Macaca fascicularis: one gene and its partners. The protein of the gene in region 1 interacts with the protein of each later gene in a pairwise test. Links are inferred from orthologs where the notes say so. Each region holds a gene or a part of one and is shown on either strand. Other genes may lie near its edges.

What was found.
Region 2: the proteins of CCNH (region 1) and KLC3 interact in binary tests that used the Homo sapiens proteins (3 or more experiments, as listed by UniProt). The two-hybrid records come from large-scale screens. The link is inferred for Macaca fascicularis from reciprocal best matches to the Homo sapiens genes CCNH and KLC3.
Region 3: the proteins of CCNH (region 1) and DUSP12 interact in binary tests that used the Homo sapiens proteins (3 or more experiments, as listed by UniProt). The two-hybrid records come from large-scale screens. The link is inferred for Macaca fascicularis from reciprocal best matches to the Homo sapiens genes CCNH and DUSP12.

The regions. Positions count from the first base shown.
Region 1 is NC_088380.1:91,395,782-91,399,992, forward strand, and holds the start of CCNH (cyclin-H), read right to left. Parts: upstream 2,801-4,211; 5' UTR 2,691-2,800; coding exon 2,574-2,690; intron 1,252-2,573; coding exon 1,129-1,251; intron 1-1,128. UniProt on the Homo sapiens protein: Regulates CDK7, the catalytic subunit of the CDK-activating kinase (CAK) enzymatic complex. CAK activates the cyclin-associated kinases CDK1, CDK2, CDK4 and CDK6 by threonine phosphorylation.
Region 2 is NC_088393.1:53,392,238-53,396,530, reverse strand, and holds the start of KLC3 (kinesin light chain 3), read right to left. Parts: upstream 2,801-4,293; 5' UTR 2,491-2,800; intron 1-2,490. UniProt on the Homo sapiens protein: Kinesin is a microtubule-associated force-producing protein that may play a role in organelle transport. Plays a role during spermiogenesis in the development of the sperm tail midpiece and in the normal function of spermatozoa.
Region 3 is NC_088375.1:99,344,690-99,348,690, reverse strand, and holds the start of DUSP12 (dual specificity protein phosphatase 12), read left to right. Parts: upstream 1-1,201; 5' UTR 1,202-1,234; coding exon 1,235-1,578; intron 1,579-1,631; exon of another isoform or gene 1,632-1,660; coding exon of another isoform or gene 1,661-1,739; intron 1,740-3,112; coding exon 3,113-3,226; intron 3,227-3,311; coding exon 3,312-3,430; intron 3,431-3,815; coding exon 3,816-3,912; intron 3,913-4,001. UniProt on the Homo sapiens protein: Dual specificity phosphatase; can dephosphorylate both phosphotyrosine and phosphoserine or phosphothreonine residues. Can dephosphorylate glucokinase (in vitro).

The DNA of each region.
Region 1 (4,211 bases):
CATTTGGCTGGAACCAATGAAATAACCACTAATCTATTTTATGATAGAAAAAAGAATATTTCCTTTTAAGTATTTTAAAAGTTTAGTTTTGTCATTATGTATAACAAAAAATTATTCACCAATGATAAACATGTTATTTAAAAATAAATTCCATAAAGAAGTTCATTAAAGGATTTTTTTCTTCATTTGATAAGATCACTTAAATTTACTGCCTCATTTTAGTTCTTTTGTAAGAATAAACCAAATCTGAAGATATAAACTAATCAAGTATACCTAAAACTCTCTCTGAATCTTTGATATCTCAGATGAAAAAAAAATTATAAATTCTATGGACTTAATATTTTCAACATACTTCAAATTTTTTTCAACTATAAAAATGGAGATAATTTCCCAGAAGATTATTCTCTACTCGGTCGTAAGCTAGTCACACTGTATAACTTTAAAATTTAACAGTCTTTTACTTAAGATACACTTCTATATTTGTTCTTTGCAACAAACCTGTGAGAGAATAACGTAAAGACATTTTAAACACCCTCCCACTCTAGCTTTTTTATCTTTCTGCTTTTTAATCTCAGCTACCTGTTTCTCCTCACGGTTGCCCACCCCAGCAAAAAACAAACAGGTCCTCAGAACCATACATCTGAAGCAATAAGACAATCTTTTTTAACCAAAGATAAAACTCCAGCTTCTACTAATTAAGGCTTAAAAAAATCTTATGGTATCAGTTTCAGCTGGGGCATATGATTACCAATTATGAAAGAATGCATTACTTCAAACATTTATTGGGTGTCACAGAGTTGGAAAAGCAAGTAGTCTATGTTCTAGTCCCAGTTCTATGGCTCACTAGTTGAGAACTTAGAGGAAAGTAATTTATTTTGTTTCTTTCTTTATAACATTACCTGACCTCAAATTTTTTTCTGACCACAAAATGAGACTTGAAATACTTTTGAAGATATGATACAGCAATTCAAGAGTTAAGGCCTGAACTGAAAAAGATATAATGTGCCAAAAACTAATTAATTGTAACTAACGTGAATTTTTAAGACTAGAGTGGACAGGGAATTTAGAAGAGGTCAAATTTCACAAGTCAACTAAAGGACATTATATTTCATCACTACTGTAACTTACCACAACAGACCTTGGCATTGCTGGCTTAAACACCGAACAGAATTCCAATAACCTTTTCTCATAGTATTTGCAGAGTGTCATTTCTTCATGAGGCTCAAGAAAGACTGGATCATTCGGAAGAACCTTTAGATCAACAATTACAACACAAGTTCAATGAATTCAATGAATTAAACAATTGTAAAACATTTTTCTCTATCCAGATTAAATTTAGTTTATATCTCCAACGAAGGGGAATATATCACGCCTCGTTTTCTTTATAGATTCGCTAATCATTACACAAAATAGCTGTAGGAAAACAATAAACTAAAACTGTACCATCATTTCACAACTTTTCGGAATGTCAGCTAGACCTTTGCTTCATTATATAAACAATCACGATAGGCTATGTGCATATGCTCACAGCTGTGATATCATTATTTACAAATTTAAAAGTAGATAGACTTTTTACAAATATGATTGGAAAGCTTCCAACATTCGTTTCTCGGTCAGTCATTACGACACAAGTTGTAAAAAAACAGCAAATGTTTCAATAAATTTCTGTTATTTTAAGCTACCCAGTCTGTGGTGATTTTTTTAAGGCAGCCCTTAAGGAAACTAATTCAGGTGCTAAAATCAGTGATGTGAATTAAAGGTAGAAAGTAAAGTAATTCAGTGTCAGTAATTTGGAGGCACTGAACACTTGCTGGAGTGGAGCTTGTAAGAAAGATTAAACCAGTCCTAGAGCTGTAACAGAAGGGACTTGGCTAGCGGGCCACAGTCCAAACCTTATCTTTAGTCACTTGGTTTGTATTCCGTCGCCGGTCTCCCGCCTCATCCAACCCATTCACCACGAGGTTGCTAGAGCGCTGTTTCCAGAACGGAAATCTGATAAGGTTAGCTTCCCATTTTAAATATTTCAAAGGTTCCTCATCCTTTCAATGGAAATTTCAAACGCCTCACTTCCACTTACAAACAAGTTCCCTTCCTACCCTCCCCAGCCATTCCTGTACAGGTACTCACATTCGGCCACATACGACCACAAACACGTCCACGCACCAGCCCTGTAACTTCTGACCTCCCTCCCACTCTGCACGGTAGTTCTGACTGCCTGGAACGTCCTTTCCCCATTTTCTCCGCATTGGCTACTGGGAAAAACCTTCCCCAACATCACCGCTTGACAAGTGAACGGCTCTTGCCACGCACTACCTTAGCACACTACCTACTCTCTTCTTCACCACGTTACAAAGACTGGTTACTTGTCTGCCATTCGACCACGGGGATGGCGTTGTTCGTCTTTGTACCCACGGAACCTCGCGAGGTGCTCGCTTATTTTAATAGATAAACGCACTCCGCGCCGCAGAGGCAGAGAAATGAGGGAGTGAGACTGTCCTGGGAGCCAGAAGAGCTCCCGCAGCTGCTCAGAATTTAGTGACCAAGCAACTGGGCAACCGTCGGGAAAACCTCACCTTCCCGTTGGCCACCGCTTTGCATCTGAATTTGCGGTTGGCGTCGGCCCGCAGTCTTGCCAGCTGCTCCTCACTGGAGAAAGTCCAGTGCCGCTTCTGGCTACTGTTGTGGTACATTGTGGAATCGTGACCAGGTCCAGACAGCCTACAGGTGACAACCCAACCGCAGCAGTGCCGTGGCGTAAAGCAACCGAACCCCCACCTAAGATCTCGCGGAAGCCTAGGGCGTCCGGCCAGCCGGCGCGGGCGCGCTGACGTCACGACTGCGTGTCCAGCGCGTACGCAGTCGCATTTCCGGAGCGGACTAGGAAGAGACCTTATCCAGGGTTCGTTGGGGCGCCCTCTGAGACGTAGGTGGGCGGAGCCTACGGAACGCTCCTCCCGGTGAGCCTGGGACATAGCTCCGCCCCTTCCAGGCAAGATTTAAAGGAGAAGCCCGGCAGGAATGTTCAAAAGAGGCATAAACTGAGGGTGTGGGGTAGGTTGATGTAAATTCACAGGGTGTAATCAGAAATTAGGAAAGGACTTGGTAGGGTGTTCATTTTTAAATGGAGGCCTCACTGAAGTTGACATTTGTGAAAAGGCTTTTTCGAGTTGAAATAGTAGGTTGATCAATCATGTAGGGAGATCATGGGGCCCAGAAAGAATAGGTAAGATCTTCAGGCAGAAGCATTCCTAGCCCTTTTCAGGAGGAGTTTGGAGATCGGTGTTCTTGAAGTACTACCAGAAATCTCTGAGAATGGAACATGGCTGAAAAACTTGAAGCAGTGGATGTGTATTGGCCCTTACAGTTTGCCACTTTTGTTGCCTTGTCTATTCTTTCTCTGTGCAAAAAGCACTTTCCCTTCTGTTGATAACTAGCCAATCCTCTCCCCCTATTTTCACCTCTGAAGCCAAGATGTATGGTAGTTTTAGTTTTCTTGAGATTCCCATCTTCATTGCCTCTAGGGAATCTTACAGTAAGCTATCATGAATATTAAGGTATTTACTAGTTTTTAAATTAATAGGACTTTCAAAATTGCAGGTGAGATCCAAAATTTATGTTGATTCTGAAGTGTCCCATTTAGGCATACCTTATTCTCTCATGTATTTATTATATATCCAAATTTCCCTATGGCAAATAGCTTTTCTAAATAAATAAATAAATAGAAAGAGAAAGATGATGAGACCTAGAGAATTTAGGTCTTGAAAAGCCTAAAAAGAAGTGGCAGGATGGCTTTAACTCTGCTTTCTATGAAAATGTTTTTAGAGGCTTAAGATAGGGAAAGTCTTTTCTTGTTCATTTTTGTTGGGTGCAGTTGAGGTTAGAGTTTGCCAGAGTTATTTGAATTCCTCAAACTTATGCCATTTGTGGTTTATAATTTTGGCGATCCACACACTCAACATATGTGGCTAATCTGGTGTCGTAAATTGGCTAAGAGAGAAAAAGAGAAAGAGAAGATTGAAGGGCATGGCAAATTGATAACAACGAATTGTGAACAACCTAAAATGTTGCATATGGGGGAAAGAATAATTTAATGGAGAAAAACATTAATGGTACAAAAGATAGGAAAATAAGTGATCTAGATAATTAAATGTCTATATAAAGTATTAGACTCATGACAGTTATATATATCATATAAATTCTTTTCATTTTGT
Region 2 (4,293 bases), on another chromosome or scaffold:
AGAAGGATTGCTTGAACCCAGGAGGTTGAAGGTGCAGTGAGCCATGATAGTGCCACTACACTCAGCCTGGGCGAGAGAGTAAGACCCAGTCTAGAAAAAAGGAAAGGAAAGGGAAGGGAAGGGGAAAGGGAAAGGGAAAAGGAAAGGAAAGACAACATAATATACATTCACCTCTTAGAAATAACAACACGTACTCACTTCTATTAAATATACAACTCAATACAAACACCTACATTTTCCTTTTAGAAATACAACCTAAGACAACACACCGACTTAGGCGCACACATACGCTATTCTTTCAAAATCAATCTGTACACACTCCCCTTTTGCAAATCCCACCTAACACACAGGTATATTCTCTTAGAAATAAAAGCCAAGCCTGGGCGCAGTGGCTCATGCCTGTGATCTCAGCACTTTGGGAGGCTGAGGTGGGTGGATCAGTTGAGGTCAGGAGTTTGAGACCAGCCTGGCCAACATGGTGAAACCCCGGCTCTACTAAAAATACAAAAGTAGCCAGGCGTGGTGGTATGCGTCTGTAGTCCCAGCTACTCAGGAGGCTGAGGCACGAGAATCGCTTGAACCCAAGAGGCAGAGGTTGCAGTGAGCCAAGATCACACCACCACACTCCAGTCTGGGCGACAGAGCGAGACTCCGTCTCAAAAAAAAAAAAAAAAAAGAGAAAAAGCCAACCCACGCAGAAACTAACTCTGTCTCTCCCACTCCCCAAATCACTCACATTCAGACCATCTCCTTGTACTTGACCGTGACACTCATTGTCCCCCGAACTCACACAGCCCAACTCCCCACAATGTGCCCAACGCACCTTCAGATGCACACATTCCCAGGATTCACTGTTGATCCCTCACCAGTTTCCCCACTTCCTCTTCCTCCCCCTCCACGCCTGGCCAGCAGGGACTCCCACACCTACACGCCATGCACTCATGAATACTTGCATTCAGTAGGAACAGAGAGCTGTGAATATGCGTAGAGGGATGCCACATTCTCACACTCTTCACTCGAGCCACTGCATCCACCATAAGGAGCCCAGCGGTTTCTGCACAGGTTGCACACGCACGATCACATAAAGGGTCCTGTACATTCTGTGCACCACAGACTTGATCATTTTTTAAAAAACTAAACTATGCCTAGCTCATTTTTGTTTTTTTGTAGAGATGGGGTATCACCATATTTCCCAGGCTAGTCTAGGACTCCTGGGTTCAAGCAATCCCCTCACTTCAGCCTTCCAAAGTGTTGAGATTACAGGTATGAGCCACTGCACCCGGCCAATCTCTATGTGCATGTGTATGTCACACCATACCTAGTCTCACACCTCACTCACAAACATCATAAATGGTTGAACTCACAACCACACAGGCTCATCAAGAGTCATCCTGACAACCACAACCATTCTTCACACAATTTTGCCGATGTAACAACCTCCCTCCATAACCTCAGACACAGCCTTACACACACCACTCCACAGCCAGATGGACAACCACAGCAACAAACACGGCTTAACCACTGCCATCCAGCACACGGGCTGTGTCCCAGACACATAGCAGCTCCCACCCTCACACAGAGCCCTGGGTACAAAACCGCACAGCTGATAATCATAGGCACAGTCCCACACACCGATCCCTGGGGCTGACCCCCTTTTCCATCCGGTCATCTGCTCAGAGCAGCACCCCACCTAAATGTCCGCGTCTCCACTCCCATCTCCCACACTACACAGCTCCACAATAAACTCTCCATTGCACACCACTGCCAGCCACGGCATCAATGCAGGTCACACACCCTCCAGTTCCTCTCTACACACACACACACAGCTTTACACACCTCCACACCTCACTCATCCAACCCCAAGGTTCCACACACAACGTCCCATGAAACGGTCTCGCTTCTGGACACAGTTCCGCCCACCCCATACACCATCAGTGACAATCAAAAGTCAATCATAGTCACCTATCACTGATCCAGTGCAACACACTGTCCACCACACACACCAACAGGCAGAAAGACAACCACAGCTGCACAACCCCTTGGTCAACATTCACACCTAATCCTACAACCAGTTCCACTCCCTGCCATACACACAGCCACACACACAGCCACACACATGCACATCAGGCCAAGCAGAAAGTTGACTACAGTCGCACTTGCTCTTGGTCATAGACATAAAGTGCTATTGACAATCCGATTCTACACACACACACCATTCCCGTCAGAGGTCGCCCACATTTTCACATTGCTGAAGGTGTCACATCGTACACACAGTCGCTTTCACCCTCATACCCACAGCCTGACACACTCTCTTGCACACACACAAAGCCTGACACACACACAGGCAGGCAGGAGGCTCCCATCGTGGCCCAGCCCCGCAAACCGCACCACCTTACCCTGGCCGGCCCAGCCCCGCGCACCAGGCTCACCCGCCGTCACAAGGGCCCCCTCCTCCCTCCCCCTAGGCCCCGCCCCGTCCTCGCTGTTTACCTGCGCTGGGGTGGGGGGCGCGCGGCCCCAGCCAGGCCTCCAGACCCCGGAGAGCCCCAGGACGGGGCAGGGGGCATCTGGGAGCCCCAAGGCCCTTCCCCGTCGCAGGACAAGCGGGCCCAGGGTTGCTCCAGGCCCCATCCTCACCCTTCGCTCCCGCCCCCCATCATCGCGGCTCTCCGAGAGTCCCGCGCCCCACTCCCGGCGCCCACCTGACCGCGGGCGGCTCCAGGCCCCGCTTCGCCCCACTGCGCTCGGTCGAGTCCCACAGGCCAGGCACGCCCCGCCGATCCCGCTGCGCCGGGCGTCTGGGACCGCGGGCGGCTCCTCCGAGGGGCGGGGCGGCTGGGAGCCATGCCCCCGCAGGTGAGCCGGCCACGCCCCCCGCCCGCGGGAAGTTCAGCCTCGTGGCTCCGGCCCCGCGGGAATGGCAGAACTTCGCACGCGGAGCGGGTAACCTCCAGGGCACCTCGAATCAGGGTGATTGCAGCGCAGGGGCCTTGGCGAAGCTAAAACCTTGGAAACGTTAGATCCCAGACCGGTGGCTTTCTTGCAGTGCCTGCCGCGGAGCCTTTTCCTTGTTTGCATCGCCTGCTTCGATCTCTCTTCCCACAGATCTCATTGTCTTTAGGTCTCTTCTCAAAGACCACCTCCTCCAGCAGGCCTTCCCTGATTGCCCCCTTCTAAATGGCACCCTTCCACCAAAACATTACATACTCCTCTTGATTTTGTTCACAAAACTTTTCAGGGCCTAAATTTTTTTTATTTATTGAGAGGGAGTCTCGCTCTGTCACCCAGGCTGGAGCGCAGTGATGCGATCTTGGCTCACTGCAACCTCCGCCTCCCAAGTTCAAGCGATTCTCCCATCTCAGCCAGCTGAGTAGCTGGGACTACAGTTGTCCACCACCACGCCCGGCTACTTTTTATATTTTTAGTAGAGATGGGGTTTCGCCATGTCGGCCCAGGTTCGTCTCGAATTCCTGACCTCAAGTGATCCTCCCGCCTCGGCCTCCCAAAGTGCTGGGATTATAGGTGTGAGCCACCGCCCCCGGCCCCTAAAGTTATTTTATATAATATATATCACATCATTATGTTATATAATATACATTATGTTATTGGTAAGAGAATGTGATATCTAAGAATTGGGCTTGGGGTTCAAATCTGATTCTGGCACTCACTTGCTGTGCAGGCCTTGGGCGAGTAACTTAACCTCTCTGTGCCTCAGTTTTCCTAGTCAATAAAATGGAAATAGTCTAAGGCTTTGAGAATTGAATGTTAACTAATACAGGGACAGTACTTTTTTTTTTTTTTTTGAGACACAGTCTTGCTCTGTCGCCCAGGCTGGAGTACAATGGCGCTCTCTTGGCTCACTGCAACCTCCGCCTCCCGGGTTCAAGTCATTCTCCTGTTTCAGCCTCCCGAGTAGCTGGGATTATAGGCACCCACCATCATGCCTAGCTAATTTTTGTATTTTTAGTAGAGACTCGGTTTCACCATGTTAGCCAGGCTGATCGTGAACTCCTGATCTTAGGTGATCCGCCCACCTCAGCCTCCCAAAGTGGTGGAATTACAGGCGTGAGCCACCGCGCCCAGCCAGGACAGTACTTTTATCAGGGCCTCGCACATAGAAAGTACTTAGTAAATACTTGCTACTGACTGTCAGCTCTGAGGGCAGGGCTCTATATTGTCACCACTGTATCTTCAGCAAGAGCCTGGCGCAAAGTTGGTGCTCAGTAAATTGTGACTGAATGAAGGAATCAAGTCCTAGAATAGTAAACTGGCCAAAGCTGGATGGACATGATT
Region 3 (4,001 bases), on another chromosome or scaffold:
CCTAGTCTTCTGCAGTGCCCCCAGGCTTGCTAGGATTAGGAAATTCCAGCCTGGCAAATTCTAGTCAGACCAGTTCTCTGCTCTTGAACCTTGTTTATCCATGACAATGTGTGCACAGCTGGACATGGAAGTTCATTAGTGATTCTAGTTTCACTCTGACTTTGTGATCTCGCCCTGACCTCCTGCCTTGTGATCTTTTGTCGCCCTTGAAGCATGTGATCTCTGTGACCCACACTCGATTTGTGCACTCCCTCTCTTTTGAAAATTGCTAATAAAAACTTGCTGGTTTTGTGGCTCAGGGGGCATGATGGAACCTCCTGACATGTGATGTCTCCCCTAGACACCGAGCTTTAAAATTTCTCTCTTTTGTACTCTTTCCCTTTATTTCTCAGACCAGCTGACACTTAGGGAAAATAGAAAAGAACCTACGTGAAATATTGGGGGCTGAATTTCCCCCAATAGTCCTCCCTATACAAGAGATAAATAAAAGATACTCATAGTACTGAGTATCTTCCTGCAGCATTCAATCTGGAGCAAAGCCGGCTTCCTTAAACCCTTTCCAAAAATCCCCAGATAAAAGCCCAAAATCTGTATAGGATCTTCCTAACATCCTCGTGCTGAGATGCCCTGAAACTCTCCATAGCTCATGACTGAGTAATAAAACCAACTTGCTTAATTAAAGTTGGTTTCGGGTAGTCCTGGCTGGAGGACATTGACTTACAAAAATATAGGATTAACATCTTCAAAATAAATAGACAGTAAACATCAACAAGGATTCACACACCAATAATGAAATTGGGCAGAAAAAGGAAAAATAATCATAAGATGCAAAGTACAGATGGCTTTATAATACTGAAAATAATTGTACTTCAAATGCATAAAATGACGCTTCTGATTCAGCCGGCGCGACCTTTATTTCACATTTGAGTTCAGCTGCTCCTGATGTCTCTCTCCTGAAAATTTCAATATTAAAAGCCAGAGAAACCCTGTATTTGGGGAAGCTTATCCTTTACCATCAACTTTGGGGTGGGGGTCAGAGGGAACAGGGCACGAAACGCCGCGCTGAATGGGGCCGAAGCTCCGCCCCTTAGCGATAAGTCCATTTTCCTGCGGCCAACGTGGTCCTCCAAGGGAGCAGCTGAGCCGCTGAGGCTGGCAAGTCCCAGGGGAAGGATGTTCTAGCCGGAGCCTACTCGATGGTAGGGCAGGAGCCGCCTGGTGTCCGGGCGCGGCCATGTTGGAGGCTCCGGGCCCGAGTCATGGCTGCGAGCCCTGCAACCCCGGTGCCAGCAGAGCCACCTGCGCCGGGCAGATGCTGGAAGTGCAGCGAGGACTGTATCTCAGTGGGGTCGCGGCCGTCGCGGAGCCAGACCACTTGAGGGAAGCGGGCATCACGGCCGTGCTAACGGTGGACTCGGAGGAGCCCAGCTTCAAGGCGGGGCCTGGGGTCGAGGATCTGTGGCGCCTCTTCGTGCCAGCGCTGGACAAACCCGAGACCGATCTGCTCAGCCATCTGGACCGGTGCGTGGCCTTCATCGGTCAGGCCCGCGCTGAGGGCCGTACGGTGTTGGTGCACTGGTGAGTGGCCGGGTCAGTGGGCGACGTGCCCCGCCAAGCACCCCTTTCCTTCCGAGGCCCTCGGGAGGACGAGAGCGCGGTCATGCCGCGTGAACCTCCTCCAGCTACCTCCCGCAGGAGGCGTGTATCCAAGAGAGGAGGAGGCTGGAGGCGGGCCCCTGGTGTGTGCAGGCTTTCATTCATTCATGCTTTAGTTGGTTCTTCCTGCTGCAACAGAGGGCGGGGGAGGTGTCATCCGATAAATGACAAATTACCTACGCCCCAAGGAGTTTACAGCTCTGTTGGAGAAGCTAGACACCCACCGATGATTGTAATGCAGATTAGGTTGCTTGGTGTCTTGTAAACAGGATTTACAAAGATTTAGGGTTCAATGTTTTTGTTTGGGATGGGTAGGGGGTGGTTGATGAAGAGGAGAATTGGTTTGGATCTAAAGGATCCCTGGGCTTTACCTAGGGAGGAGATAGTTGCAGCAAAGACAAAAAGAAAATGGGAATCCCGGCAGGGCGCGGTGGCTCACGCCTGTAGTCCCAGCACTTTGGGAGGCAGGCGGATCACGAGGTCAGGAGTTCCAGACCAGCCTGGCCAATATGGTGAAACCACGTCTCTAACAAAAATACAAAAATTAGCCGGGCGTGGTGGCGCTCGTCTGTAGTCTCAGCTACTCGGGAGGCTGAGGCAGGAGAATCACTTTGAACCTGGGAGGCAGAGGTTGCAGGGAGCCGAGGTTGTGCCACAGCACTCCAGCCTGGGCAACAGAGCAAGACTCCATCTCAAAAAAAAAAAAAAAAAAAAAGAAAAGAAAAGAAAATGGGAATCCCTAAGCAGTTCTTGGTTGGATTGGAGTATAATAACAATAGTTTAAATTTATTGAGCACATAAAAGACAGAAGATAGTGATAGAATCGAAAGAAGTCTGGGACCAGATTTTGAGGTCCCTGAATGCTAAGATGAAAGGAGATTGGATTTGTTTTTGTTTTGTTTTATTTATTTTTATTTTGAGTCTTGCTCTGTCACCCAGGCTGCAGTGTAGTAGCGTAATTACGGCTCACTGCAGTCTCAACCTCCCAGGCTCAAGTGATCCTCCCGCCTCAGCCTCCAGAGTAGCTGGGACTACAGGCACGCGCCACCACATCCGGCTAATTTTTTGTAGAGGTGGGGTCTCACTTTGTTGCCCAGGCTGGTCTCCAACTCCTGGGCTCAAGCAATCCCGTACCTCGGCCTCCCAAAGTGCTGGGATTTCAGGGGTAAGTAAGCCACTGTGTCTAGCCAGGAGTTTGGATTTGTTCTGAGCCATTATAAAAATTTTAAAAATTACTGTTATTATTTTTGAATAGGTAATACAGTCACATGGTTCAGAATTCAAAAGGAAAAAGGAATAATTCTTTTGTACCTGATAATATTTCAGAGGCAATGGGCTTATCTGAGAAGTAGAAATGAAGTGGGCCTAAACTTTACTATTAATAGGGGGCTGGGTTTTGTGTGTTTGTTTTTAATTGTTGCTATTTGCTGTTTTATTTTAAAGGTCTCTTTTTCAGTCACGCAGGAGTCAGTCGAAGTGTGGCCATAATAACTGCTTTTCTCATGAAGACTGACCTACTTCCCTTTGAAAAAGCCTATGAAAAGCTCCAGATTCTCAAACCAGAGGCCAAGTGGGTTCTTTTTTTTATAGTAATAATTCTGCTTTTGTGATGTTATTTTAAGAAAATGAAACTTTGTATTTCTTTATCATTACAGGATGAATGAGGGGTTTGAGTGGCAACTGAAATTATACCAGGCAATGGGATATGAAGTGGATACCTCTAGTGCAATTTATAAGCAATATCGTTTACAAAAGGTTACAGAGAAGTATCCAGGTAAGTAATAATCACTAGTGTGTAATGGGCTTTCTAAATGTCATTTACTTTTGGCATTGCATGCATTACCTCACTTCCAGCAATCCCCGAGAAACTATTGTTTCTTTTTGAAACTGATTTAGCCAGAAATAACTTATTCAAAATCACATGGTTTATAAATGGTAGGGTTGGGATTTGAACTCGGTCAGCCTGTGCCCAGAACCTAAGTACTTAAATCACTGTCCTCTCCTACCTTAGCCTGATTTCTCAACACTGGAATTTGATTTTTTTTTTTTTATTTTAATTTCTGAGGTTAGCACTTCTTGCCTCAATTTGACATTAACTGAATTTATCTGAAAATGCAGTTGATTTTGACAAATAAATACATTTTAGTTATATCATATAGAATTGCAGAATTTACCTCAAGAACTCTTTGCTGTTGACCCAACCACGGTTTCACAAGGATTGAAAGATGAGGTTCTCTACAAGTGTAGAAAGTGCAGGTAAAATATTTTGTATCCTTTGGATATTTTATCTTCTCAGTAACTGAAAAGTAGCTAAAGTTTTATTTTCTTAAATTTCTGTAGGAAGA